Notamacropus eugenii: one gene and its partners. The protein of the gene in region 3 interacts with the protein of the main gene of each other region in a biochemical or structural test. Links are inferred from orthologs where the notes say so. Each region holds a gene or a part of one and is shown on either strand. Other genes may lie near its edges. The genes, in order: TCOF1, NOLC1 and KBTBD8.

Evidence for each region.
Region 1: the proteins of KBTBD8 (region 3) and TCOF1 form a complex in vitro, tested with the Homo sapiens proteins (2 studies listed by BioGRID, with this or other methods). The link is inferred for Notamacropus eugenii from reciprocal best matches to the Homo sapiens genes KBTBD8 and TCOF1.
Region 2: the proteins of KBTBD8 (region 3) and NOLC1 form a complex in vitro, tested with the Homo sapiens proteins (2 studies listed by BioGRID). The link is inferred for Notamacropus eugenii from reciprocal best matches to the Homo sapiens genes KBTBD8 and NOLC1.

What each region holds. Positions count from the first base shown.
Region 1 is NC_092872.1:378,243,987-378,247,733, reverse strand, and holds the start of TCOF1 (treacle protein), read right to left. Parts: upstream 2,802-3,747; 5' UTR 2,670-2,801; coding exon 2,562-2,669; intron 1-2,561.
Region 2 is NC_092872.1:180,294,608-180,298,354, reverse strand, and holds the start of NOLC1 (nucleolar and coiled-body phosphoprotein 1), read right to left. Parts: upstream 2,472-3,747; 5' UTR 2,291-2,471; coding exon 2,171-2,290; intron 657-2,170; coding exon 601-656; intron 509-600; coding exon 378-508; intron 231-377; coding exon 97-230; intron 1-96. UniProt on the Homo sapiens protein: Nucleolar protein that acts as a regulator of RNA polymerase I by connecting RNA polymerase I with enzymes responsible for ribosomal processing and modification.
Region 3 is NC_092874.1:456,875,805-456,879,551, forward strand, and holds the start of KBTBD8 (kelch repeat and BTB domain-containing protein 8), read right to left. Parts: upstream 2,451-3,747; 5' UTR 1,707-2,450; coding exon 1,692-1,706; intron 638-1,691; coding exon 604-637; intron 285-603; coding exon 71-284; intron 1-70. UniProt on the Homo sapiens protein: Substrate-specific adapter of a BCR (BTB-CUL3-RBX1) E3 ubiquitin ligase complex that acts as a regulator of neural crest specification.

The DNA of each region.
Region 1 (3,747 bases), on a different chromosome or scaffold from region 3:
CATTAGGTGGGGGAGGGGTCGGAGAGAGGGAGAGAATTTGGAACCTGAAATTTAAAAAGAAAAGAATGTTAAAAATAATAAATTTGATTTTAAAAAAAAAGAAGTGGGCTTTAAAGGATGGGTAACAATAGCAAGCGTAATTTATTAAGTGCCTACTATATGCTAAGTGATAAAGACAGGAAAAAAGCAAGTAATGGTGGGGGGAGTGCGACAGGCAAACAACTATGTACAAACGAGTTATATGCGGCGCACACCGGAGACAATCCACTGGGCGAAAGCACTAACATTACTGTGCACTGGAGGTAAGGGTTTTAGCTGAGGCATGAAGTAACCCAGAAAAGTCAACAAGTTGGGATAAAGAGGCTGGGGTATTCCAGGCACAGGAGACAGGTAAAGAAAATGCAGATGACTGGGAGATGGAATGTCTGGTGAGAAGAACAGGGAGGAGGCCTGTGTCCCTGGGATACAGGATATGGGATGTAGTGTAAGGCGTAAGAAGACTGTAAAGGTCAGACAGGGCCAGGTCGTGAAGGGCTTCAGGTAGCAATCAGCCTATTTTATATTTAATCCTGGATGCCATAGGGAGCCCCTGGAGTTTATTGAATGGGATGGAGGATGAGTTCAAGAGGTCACTTTGATAGCAGAATAAAAAATTAACAGATAAAAGAGGATAAAAAGAAGAAGGCTAAGGGTATGTCAGACCTCCAGAACAAGCATCCCATTCAAACAGAGCAGTAGTTCAAGTAAGTACCCTGAAGGAACAGAAGGTACATGGGCATACTTCTTCAGTAAGGATTAAGCAACTATTATGCAGCATGTATTTCCCTAGGTTCAGGGGATTTTGAGGGGGAGGGAGAGGGAGAGAGATACAAATATTAAATAGTAACTGTTTCTCTTTTACCCAGGAACCCTGAGGGTCTTCCCTTCCCAGTTTCACTTTTTTTTTTTTTTGATACAAAATAACTGGGGCAGGGAAGGAAAGATCCTAAGGAGATGGGCAGAGAAGGTAAGGGGTATGGGCTAACTGGAAAGTTCTCTCCAAGGAATGAAATTCAGGATGAAGTCCAATGCTAATAAGGGATCCTGACAGCATGGAGTGGTAGGTAGCATGATGGACCTAAGAGTAAGGAAGAATTGGGTTCAGTTCCATGTCTGACAGTTGGGGGATCATGGGCAAGTCACAACTTCTATGAACCTTGATTTCCGCATCTGTGAAATGGGACTAAAATCTGTAATACCTACCTTACAGGGTTGTTTCAAAGATTAAATAAGACAGTTAGCCTGTAAAGTGTCTTGTGAAGAGACCTGGCTTCTAGTTCCCCATCTGCTCTCTTTGTCTGGAGCTCAGATTTTTATTCTCTAGGATGAGACTAGGAAGTCTCTACCAAGGTCCTTTCTGGCTAAAACAATCAGAAAGAAACAGTTTTGGAAAACTGAGCGGGAATAAGGAAGTACAAAGGAACCAGAGCCCTTAGTTAACTACGGGGTCTTTTCAATGTAAACCTTCCTTTTACATATGAGAAGACAGCCCAAGGCAGAGGAAGTCTTATCACTTGTAAGCAATTTACCCTAGACCATAATTAAACCCCAGGACTCCACTGGGTAAAACCCAAGACCATTGCAATGCGTATTTTGGAAAGAATGTCACCAGAGAACATCCTTCCCTTGCCACACTCTTCCGCATTCAGAGAAGGGCCCTGGGAGGTAATTAATCTAATCTAATCCTTTCTATTTTACAAGTGAGAAAACAGAGTTTCAAACAAGTTAAGTAACTGATCCAGTCATACACTAAGTATGGAGCAGTGCCGGGTGTGTCTAGCCCTCAATCCAGGGCATTTTTCACTTTGCCACGCTGCAACTCAGTAGGTAAAGTTAGGAGGAGGCCCAAAGGAAGAACAAGAACTACCCAGAGATCTGCCTTCCTAGCAAAGAGAGCCAGACAGCCATGTAGGAACAGAACCTTCTCAGCGTCTCCCTCCCAAGATCTGCTAGTGATCTAGCAGCACGTGTCAGTTCCAGGAAACATGGCCAACCTTTCCTGACATCTCTAGTGGATACACGCTTCCTGTCTTCCCCTCGTGCACACGCAGGGCTCGGACACCGCTATCAGCTGCTGTAATGACAGGGTTCAGATTGGGGCTTATCCCATACATGCCGAGCAGAGTTACAGGGCAATTACCAGCCAGTTCTTCAATAGGCTTTTCCTGTTCCTCTTCACCCTGGCCATCCACACTGTCCCTCCTTTCCGGTTATCCCTCTGCCATCTTCTGCTTAGCAAGTCATTCCACAGTAACTGAAAACATGCTATCAAGTATTTCTCCAAGGGCTGAGGCCACAAGCCGTGCAGGATGAACCCAGTAAGGGGGACTTCAAGACATGAGGGCATCACGATTCTGGGCTGTCTGGTGTGACAGGCGAACCCCGGGGATGCTGCCAAGCTGCCCCCTTCTCCCAAGCCTGTCCTGGAAGCTCTGCCGGGCTCGGCAGCGATCCGATCGGGGACTAGACAGGTGGCCACGAGGGTCCCTTCCCTCCCTCCTCCCTCCCTGCCTCCTCCTCACCTGGCCGCTCTGCAGCTTCACCTCCCGCGCCGCCCTCACGTAGCCAGCCTGCACCAGGTGGTGGTGGATGAGCGGCAGCAGCTCCCTCCGCTTTCGGGCTTCGGCCATGTCTGCGAGGCTGGACAGCGGCGGGTGCTGTCGGGCCCGGACGCACGAGGACCGAAGGTTTGCTGCAAATCGGCTCCGGCAGGCTCGCGCGCACAACTTTTCCCCCTCGTCTCCGCCCCTCCGCCCTTAGACCTCACTCTACTACTTCCGACTTCCCGAGAGTCTTATCCTGGCCTTGGGTTGTGCTGGGAAATGTAGTTTCTCTGGGGCCCTGGGTTGAGGCTCAGAGCGCTCCACCCGGCTGGGGAGAAATGGGGGCGGTTCTCCGGGGACTGTTGGCCATGGCGCTCGGGACAGAACGTCAGACTTTTCCTGATAAACAGACTACAAGCTCCTTGAGGGCACGCACTGCCTTTTGCCTCTTTGTCTATCCCCACCTTTATAGCATAGTGACAGGCACTTAGAAGTCGCTTAGTGATTATTGATTATTGATTGATTGGCACTTATACTAGGTGCTTAGTAAAGTGTATTGATTAATTGAAAATAAGCTTTTATTGCTATCTTTTTTTTTTTGCATGATCATAATTGTCCCAAGTATCCTCCCTCCCAGAGAGCTATCCTCCTATAACAACAAATGGAATTTTTTTTTTTGAGAAAAAACCTGTACAGGTTGTTGTGTTTCTCCTTCGTTCTCCAAGAGGACCATGACATCAAGATGATGACATGACTTGCAGTTGACTTTCATTTGAGTGAGGGAGGGCTGTGCAGTCACCAGCCTCACTTTCTCCTCTGGAGCTATCTGGGTCCAGTGAGCTGATATTCTTCAGGACAGCTGGAGATGGCCTAGGATGCAGTGTGAGAACCTGGCCCTTTCAGGCTAAGGTCTTATCACATTCTCACTTTGAGTGAGATGCACCCATTCAATCAATAGGCTTCTTTAAGTAGTTACTCAAAGGATGGAGGCTTTAATAAAAAAAAAAAAAATCAGACTGGGAGGGAAGACCCTCAGGGTTCCTGCGTAAAAGAGAAACAGTTACTATATGGTAATTATGTTGGCTTTGTGCTAGGTGGGTGGGGACTTGTACAGTCTATAACCTCCAACTTATCGATACATTGTAAAGTCTGAAAATAAGTGTAA
Region 2 (3,747 bases), on a different chromosome or scaffold from region 3:
TCAGTTTGGAAAGATTTCCTTTCTAATGGCATCTCTGAATCAAGCAGACACAGATTTCTGCCCCTAGTTCCTCTCCTGAAACCCATATATTTCAACCTGGGCAGACTTCTTCTGGCTTCCAGTGTCTTCTTCCTCACTGGAGTCCTCACTGCTACTACTACTACTCTCTGCTGCTTTGGCAGGAATGGTTGACTTCAAAGGCTGAGTGGATGTACCAGGTGGCTTGGTGGCTGGGGAAGAATATGGAATTGGTGAGAATTAGGCCTCTGGACAAGGGGAGTATTCCCAAGCGAGCAAGAAGAACCTTCATGTGCTTTAGCTAGAAATCAAACACATGGAAAGAACACCCCCTCCACTCCCAAAAATTCATCCCTCACCTAATTTTTTGGTTGGAGGCTGTTTGGCCTCTCCTTTATGACTGCTGTCGCCAGAAGCAGTGGATTTCTTAGCTTTCTTTGCTACTGGTCCGTTAGCCTGCAACTTGCGCTTCTGAGCTTTGGAAGACCTACTGGGTGAAGAAAAGGCAAAATGAACTTTGAGAAGGGGCTGGCCTATGAGACACCAAGGAAGAGAGAGCCGAAGGGTGCAGAAGGGACTTACTTGAGCCAGAAACTATAGATGTCCAAAAGGGAAGTGGCATTGGGGTCCTGTTGGGCCTGCAAGGACGGAAAGAGGTAGAGCTGATATCCCTAAAATGCTGGAATTTTTGCAGTCACATCCACAAAGTTCTATTAAGTTAGTCTACTCTTACAACCTGGGCTTTTTTTGATCCCAACATGTTTTTAGCTAGTCTTCCCAGCCTCATATCATCTGCAAACCCGAAGCATGCTACAATGTTTTCATACATATAAATTAAAATTACTGAACACTTACTAAGTACCTACCATGTTCAAGCTGCTAAGGATATAACAACAAAGAAGATACAGACTCTGCTTTGTAAGGAACTCACAATACATTTTGATACAAGGAATTGTATAATAGGAACAAAAGAAGGGTCCAGGCAAAATTATAACTATATTAAAAGCTTCAATTAATTGACAGTTACAAAGGGGCAGACCCAAGGAAAGCTCCACTGCAGCATGGCATCTAAGCTAGGCCTTGAAGGGAGAATGTGAACAAAGCCACTGAAACAGGAAACAGCAAGAAAATGGGGGATGGAGAACAATCCAAGCTGGCTGGGACGTAGAATAACAAGTCACATTTATATTGTGCTTAAAGTTAACAAAGCACCTTCCCTACACCCTATGAGGTAGTAAGCTCAAGTATTGCCTTTTACAATAGAAAAAACAAGCTCAGAAAAGTTGAGTAACTTGTCCATAGCCACAAGTCAGAGGCAAGACATAAACTTGTAACTCAAAACTCAGCATCTTTTCTTCTGTTGCACATTCTGGGATTGCAAATCAAGAGCAATTATTATGAAGCACAAATTTCTACAAATCTTATAAACTTTAAGCCTGGTCCACCAGAAAAATATGCATGATTTCTTCTTGCTGGGGGGTGGAGGGTGAATACAGTGGGAAAGAGAGAAAATACAGTGGTGGGTCCTTGGTAGAGTCAGATAATTCAAATGCACTGAAAAGATTATTCAAGGAGAAAGTGGAAGATTCCAGGTGGAAACACGACTTAGAATGGTGTATCACTGATCAGGGTGAAACATCAACCTGAAGTATTTATTATGTACTAACTATGTGCCAGACAGAAGGCTGGGGACACAGGCACAAAAATGGAGCAGCCCCTCACTTCAAGGAGCGCACGTGCTAAGTGACTGGCTGCAGTGGAAGTGGAAAGGTCGGCGTGTAAAAGCTGTAACTGATAAAAAAACACACGAACCAGAACCGAGCCGGGGTCGTCCCCCTTAGCTGCCCCTGGAGCATCATATGGATCTGACTCTTCTTAAGGGCTCCCCTCCCCCACCGCCTCCACAAACTAAGACCCATACTGACCGGTCCTGCAGCCTTGCCTCGATTTACCAGGAGAGGCTTCTGTGACCACCAGAGCGGGCATTAAGCCCATGACCCCAACGCCAGGTGCCAGGGATCGCCCTACCCGGGCCCCCCTTTCCCGGGGCCCACGAGGGCCCCCTCCCCCCTAGGCCCGGGGGACCACGTGCTTTCCTCTCCCCTCGCCCGGTGCTCAGATCGCCCTCCTCCCCGAGCGCGGGGGGACTCACGGTGCCCGTGGCCTTAGCGAATTTGCTTGCCGCCTCCGGAAACTGGTTGTCGCGCAGGAAACCGAGCACGAGAGGGAACAAGTCGCTGGGCACCACGCGTAACACCTCTTGCTCCGCCATCCTCCAGGTCCGAATGCGTCACCGGCGCGACTCAGGGCTGCACGTCGCGCATGATGACATCACTCCGGCATGGTGAGGGTGAAGGGAACCGGATGTGGCGTCACGGCCAAGCGCCGGAAAAGGCGGGGACTCGGGCCCGCCCGCCCACTCCTAGAAACCTTCCTTTCCCTTTCCCTTTCCCTTCCCTCCCACCCCGGGTCCCACCCCGGATATCTCGGGAAAGAAAAAGTCCGGTCGAACCACTCCGCGGGTCTCGTCTGGTGGGTGAAGGCGGGGCAGGGGCGTCGTGGCTCCGCCCATTCCTGCCGCTTTGGCGGGAAAGCTCCACTCCGGCCCCCGCCTCCGGTTTGCCGGGGCTGGGGCGGGGCGGAGCGGGCCTGTCTTACTGCTGGTTTAGCCAACAACGATTTGGGTCCTTTCGAGCCACAGCTGCTTAAGCTCCCCAGGCCTCCTTTTCCTCCATTGCAAAATGAGGGGGTGGGGCTTCAGGGGCCGGGGGCTCCTTTGGGGGCAGCCGTCCTCCCTGCACCCCCAAACTGAGGGGCGAGGTGTGTACGAGCAAGGCCCCCTGGGGTCCGTGAGAAGAGCCGCCCCCCCCCCAATGCTTCCCGCACTGGGCCCCGCGCATCCCGAGTCCCAGCTGACTTGGCTGGCTGCTCTTGGGAGATCCGGCGGTTCACGGGCCTTTAAAAAAAAAGCCTGTTTTTCAGTTGCAAATGACAAATTAAATTGAAAATATATGGTCATGCAAAACAAATTCTCCTGTTACTCTGGAGAGAGAGGGGACAGAAATAATAGCTACCATGTAGCACTTGATGTTCCACCCGTCCCTCCCAAGCCTACCAGACAGGCACCATTATCATCTCCGTTTTAAAGATGAGACTGAGGCAGCCAGGTGAAGTGTCTGGCCTGGGGCACACACGAGGGGGTTGTCGGCTTTATTCCCAGCACTCTACACCGCCCAGTCTCCAGGTTCGGGGGGTACATGGCTTTTTCATCCCCAGGCCTTCGCAATTTTGGCTGCTCGTTGTGTTCGTCAGAATTCCTACGTCTTTCAAAGCTGATTTTTATAATCCTGCTATTATCGCCTTCCTTTTTCTCCTCGTTCTGCTCACTTTACTTCCCTTCCGTTCACGCGAGCCTCTGCTGGTTCCTCTGAAACCTTCCCCTTCATCGTTTCTTGCTGCCCAAGGTTATATTCCATCACGCTCACACCCCATAACTTGTTGGCCGTTCCCCAGTGGAGAGGCGTCAGCTCAGTTTCCAGTTACTGGTCACTACAAAAAGAGCTACTACAAGTAGTTTTGTACGTATGGGTCCGTTTCCTCTTTCTTTTTGACCTCCTTGGACCTAGTATCAGTAACTTTGAGTCAAAGAGTATAAATAGGTTAATAGTTTTGGAACATAGTTCTGACCTGCCTTCCAGAAAGGTCAGACCAGTTCTGAGTTGGATCAGC
Region 3 (3,747 bases):
CGGCGCGCCACGCAGCAGGCGCTTCGTACAGGCGCTCCCGGGGGTAAACTGAGGCAGCGGGCGCGGCTACCTGAAGTAGGGGCTGATGGCCGCCAGCACGTTGCGGTGGCACGAGAAGGTCTTGCCGTGGTCCACCTCCACGACGATGTCGGTCAGCTGGCCCTCGTCGTACATGGTCTTGAGCTGCTGCAGGATGCTGCACGCGTGGGCGGCGTCCACGGGCCCCGGGCCGGCCACGGGGGGCGCGGGCGGGGCGCCGTTCGGCGGCGGACACTTACTGGCATCTGCGGGAGAGAGAGCGCCACAAGCCCCGGGTTCCGCGCGCGCCCGAGGCTGGGCCGGGCCCACGCGCGCCCCGGGGCGCGGCCCCGACGGGCCACGGACGCGCGCGGCGGGGGGCGGGGGGCGGGGCGGGGGGAGGACGCGACGCGGACGCGCGGGGCCCCCGCGGGCGACCGGACGGGCTTCGGCGGCCGTCGGGGCCCACGGGAGTCGCGGGGGAGGGAGGGAGGGAAAAGGGGAGGCCCGTGCCCTCCGCCAAGCCCGCCCCGGACCGCCCAACCGCCGCCCCGGCCGCTCCCCCCACCCCGAGGCAGCACCTACCTCCCGTCGCGGCCATGTCTCGGAGGGGCCCCGGCTCGAGCGGAGTGAGGAGAAGAGAGAAAATGTCATTTCGTTTCCCCTGCTCCCCCCGGTTCCGGCTCGTCAGCGAGCTTCGAAGCCAATGGGAGGCCTCGGAGCCCAGGCCCCGCCCCCGAGCCCAGCGCCTCGGGTACCGATTGGTCGCAGGCCGCCGAGGTGCGTGTCGGGAAATGTAGTCCGGTTCAGCTCAACCCCGCGTGGTCGCTGGGAGGCGGAGGCAGTACCGGCGGAGGCCGGACTGCGGCGTGGGCATGGGGCCTGTCAGGGGGTGGGCCGAGTCGTCCTCGGGTTAGGACGCACTCCATACTCCTGGCTCACACCAGAGCTCCACGCATTGGGATCCGCGCGGTCCCCTCGGATCCCCCCCGCTTCCCAGGGGCTGGGCACCGCAGGTGTCACCCGCTGGACGGGCGAGGAAACTGAGGCCTAGGCCGGGACCTCGCGGTCTGCGTTGGGGATGGGGTGGGGCCAAAGTGGGAGCGCCCTGAGGGCCGCGGCGCGGGAGGACGTGGGCGCAGCCGCCGTGGGCAAGGCGCCGCGCTCCGGCCGGCCCTTCCGCGGAGGGGCCCCCAAGGCGGGGGAGGCTTCGGGGGACTTCCCCCTTGTCGGCTCACGGTTACCCCGCCTTCCCCAAGAGGAAACCGAGGCCGAGCTGAAGTCGGGCCTCGCGACTTCCCCCGGGGGCGTCCGACGCAGGACTGGCCCCAGGCCTGCCTGGCAGCCGGACGGGACTTCCTTCCCTGAGTCACCGCCCCTCCTACCCGCGGCCGCCGATGCGAGGGGGCCCAGCCTCCCCGAGACACCTCCAACTGGAGCCCGGGGTCACCTGCCCCTCCCCCCGCCCGCCCCAGAGAGAGTGATCCGACGTGCCATCTGTGCCACCAAGTGAAACCGCCTGGCACCGGCCTAAGTTCCGAGCCATCAAAGCTGAGCCCCGTAGATGGAGACAAACCTCCCCCTCCTGTTTAGAGCCCCTAAAAATAAACATGAAGGAATTAAATATGTCCCACGGGAACTTGGGAGGAGCCCCTTCCTTCCTGGATGTTTACCTGCGATCCTTTCATTAGCCGTCCTGAGGCTTGCCTTGGCTCCCCAGGCAGCCTGTCCGGGGCTAGGGGAGAGTTTGTGAACGAGAGGGACCCTGGACTGAGGCCAGCCGCCCCCTCCTCTTAGATTCATGGCTGCGATATTTCCCTAGATCTGTCCTCTTATGGAGGAATGCCAGTCGCGACTGGTCCAGCCCTGCCCAGCCTGTTCGGCTTCTGCCTTTGCCCTCCCCTACTGCCTCCCAAGGAACGACACCCAACGTGCTGGAGGGCGCTTTTAGCATTTCACGGATACTGCTGCAGTCGTGCATGTAGCTGACCTTCCTTCACAAATCGTTGGGAGCTTGAGGCAGGCTTTTATGCGGAGCCCAGGCTCCTGGCTCTCCGATCGGAGAAGATACATTTGACTTGGATTCCGATTTTGCTTCTGATACGCTGTGAACACTGGAAAGTCACAGCCTCTCTGTTCCTTAGTTCCCTCGTCCGTAAAGTGAAGTTCGTACTGACAGTACCTCCCTCGCAGGCTGGCTTGTGAGATTCAAGTGAGATGATACATGTCAAGAGTTTTGCGCATTTAAAAATGTATATAAATGTCAACTCTTGTTACAGTTATCCCATGTACCGAGCAGTAAGATACTTTTTGTGCTTGGCAAGTGGAATAAAGATACATAATATATAAAATGTGTTCTATGTAGATAGTGTTACACTTTAAATCTGTATTATGTTTCTTTGCTTTGTTACTCAGCATTATAAAATACAATTTATCATTACTGAGTATTTACTTAGCTCTTTCTAGGTCCATGGCCCTGATTTATCTAACTATTGCTCCTAGCAAATCTATTTTTAAGACTTTCATAAACTTAACAAGTCACATTTATATAGTGCTCTCCTCCCGACAGCTCTGTGAGGTAGGGAACAAGTTTTTGTTGATTTTTTTTAACCTAACATTCAGTTCATTGCCAAAGAAAAATCCATGCAGAGCAACACCTATTTATGCAACTCAAAGGCTTAAGGTGTTAACTTCCTCCAGAGGCAGAGTGACTTTCCCAGGGTCATATAGCCATAGAAGCTGAATCTGAACAAAGGTCATCATGATTCTGAGTCTGGCTCTCTATCCACTGCGCCACAAGGTCTCTCTGAACAAGTATTATTATGTCCTTTTTTGTTGTTCAGTCGTTTTAAGTCACATCTGACTCTTCATGACCCCATTTGGGGTTTTCATGGCAAAAGATACTGGAGTGATTTACCATTTTCTTCTCCAGCTCAATTTTAAAGATGAGGAAGCACAGGCTAACAGGGTCACACAGCTGCTGAGGGTCTGAGGTCAAATTCAGACTCATCCAGGTCTCCAAAACCTCCAGGTCCCAGTACTCATTCCCCTAGAGAACATAACACTGTCATTCTCTATTTCCCAAGTATCCATGGGTTCCCAATCAAAATTATTATATTAAGGAAAATGAATGGAAAAGTCTAATTTCATTCATTCTATTTTTAACTTCTTTGGAGTCAGGTCTAAAACTAAATGTGAGTCTTGCACTTCCTACTTATTAGCTAAAGGACTTGGGTGATATTCATCAATTAATTTCAGAAAAGACTCTGTGTTCTCTGTTCCCCTAGTGATGCGGGTTGGGGGGTGGGGAGGTACTAGGGCTTGTAAAAGCAAACCTAAAGTAAGTATAAAAAAGAACAGGACATAATATTACTGCTTTGCTAATGACTATGACACTCTTAATAGGGCTAAATTCTGATGAGATCAAAGATCATATATTACTCGTTGTTAGAATTATATAGTTTTTAAATCAAAAATAGATAAGAGGATAATAAAATCTAACCAACAAACAACTGTTCTCTGTGACCTTTAAGGATACAAAGAAGGTCCTGTTCCATTGTGGACACTAAATAGCACTAGACAGCCAGCTTTGGTTTGAGGCAGTTCCAGCCAATGAGCTGTAAAGGCAAGCAGTAAAAGTCAACCAGGTTTCATCTTAATTAACTAAATAGTTATAAAGTACTGACCACTAAAGTACTTTCCCAAAAAATTTACATTTTAGAAGGAAGC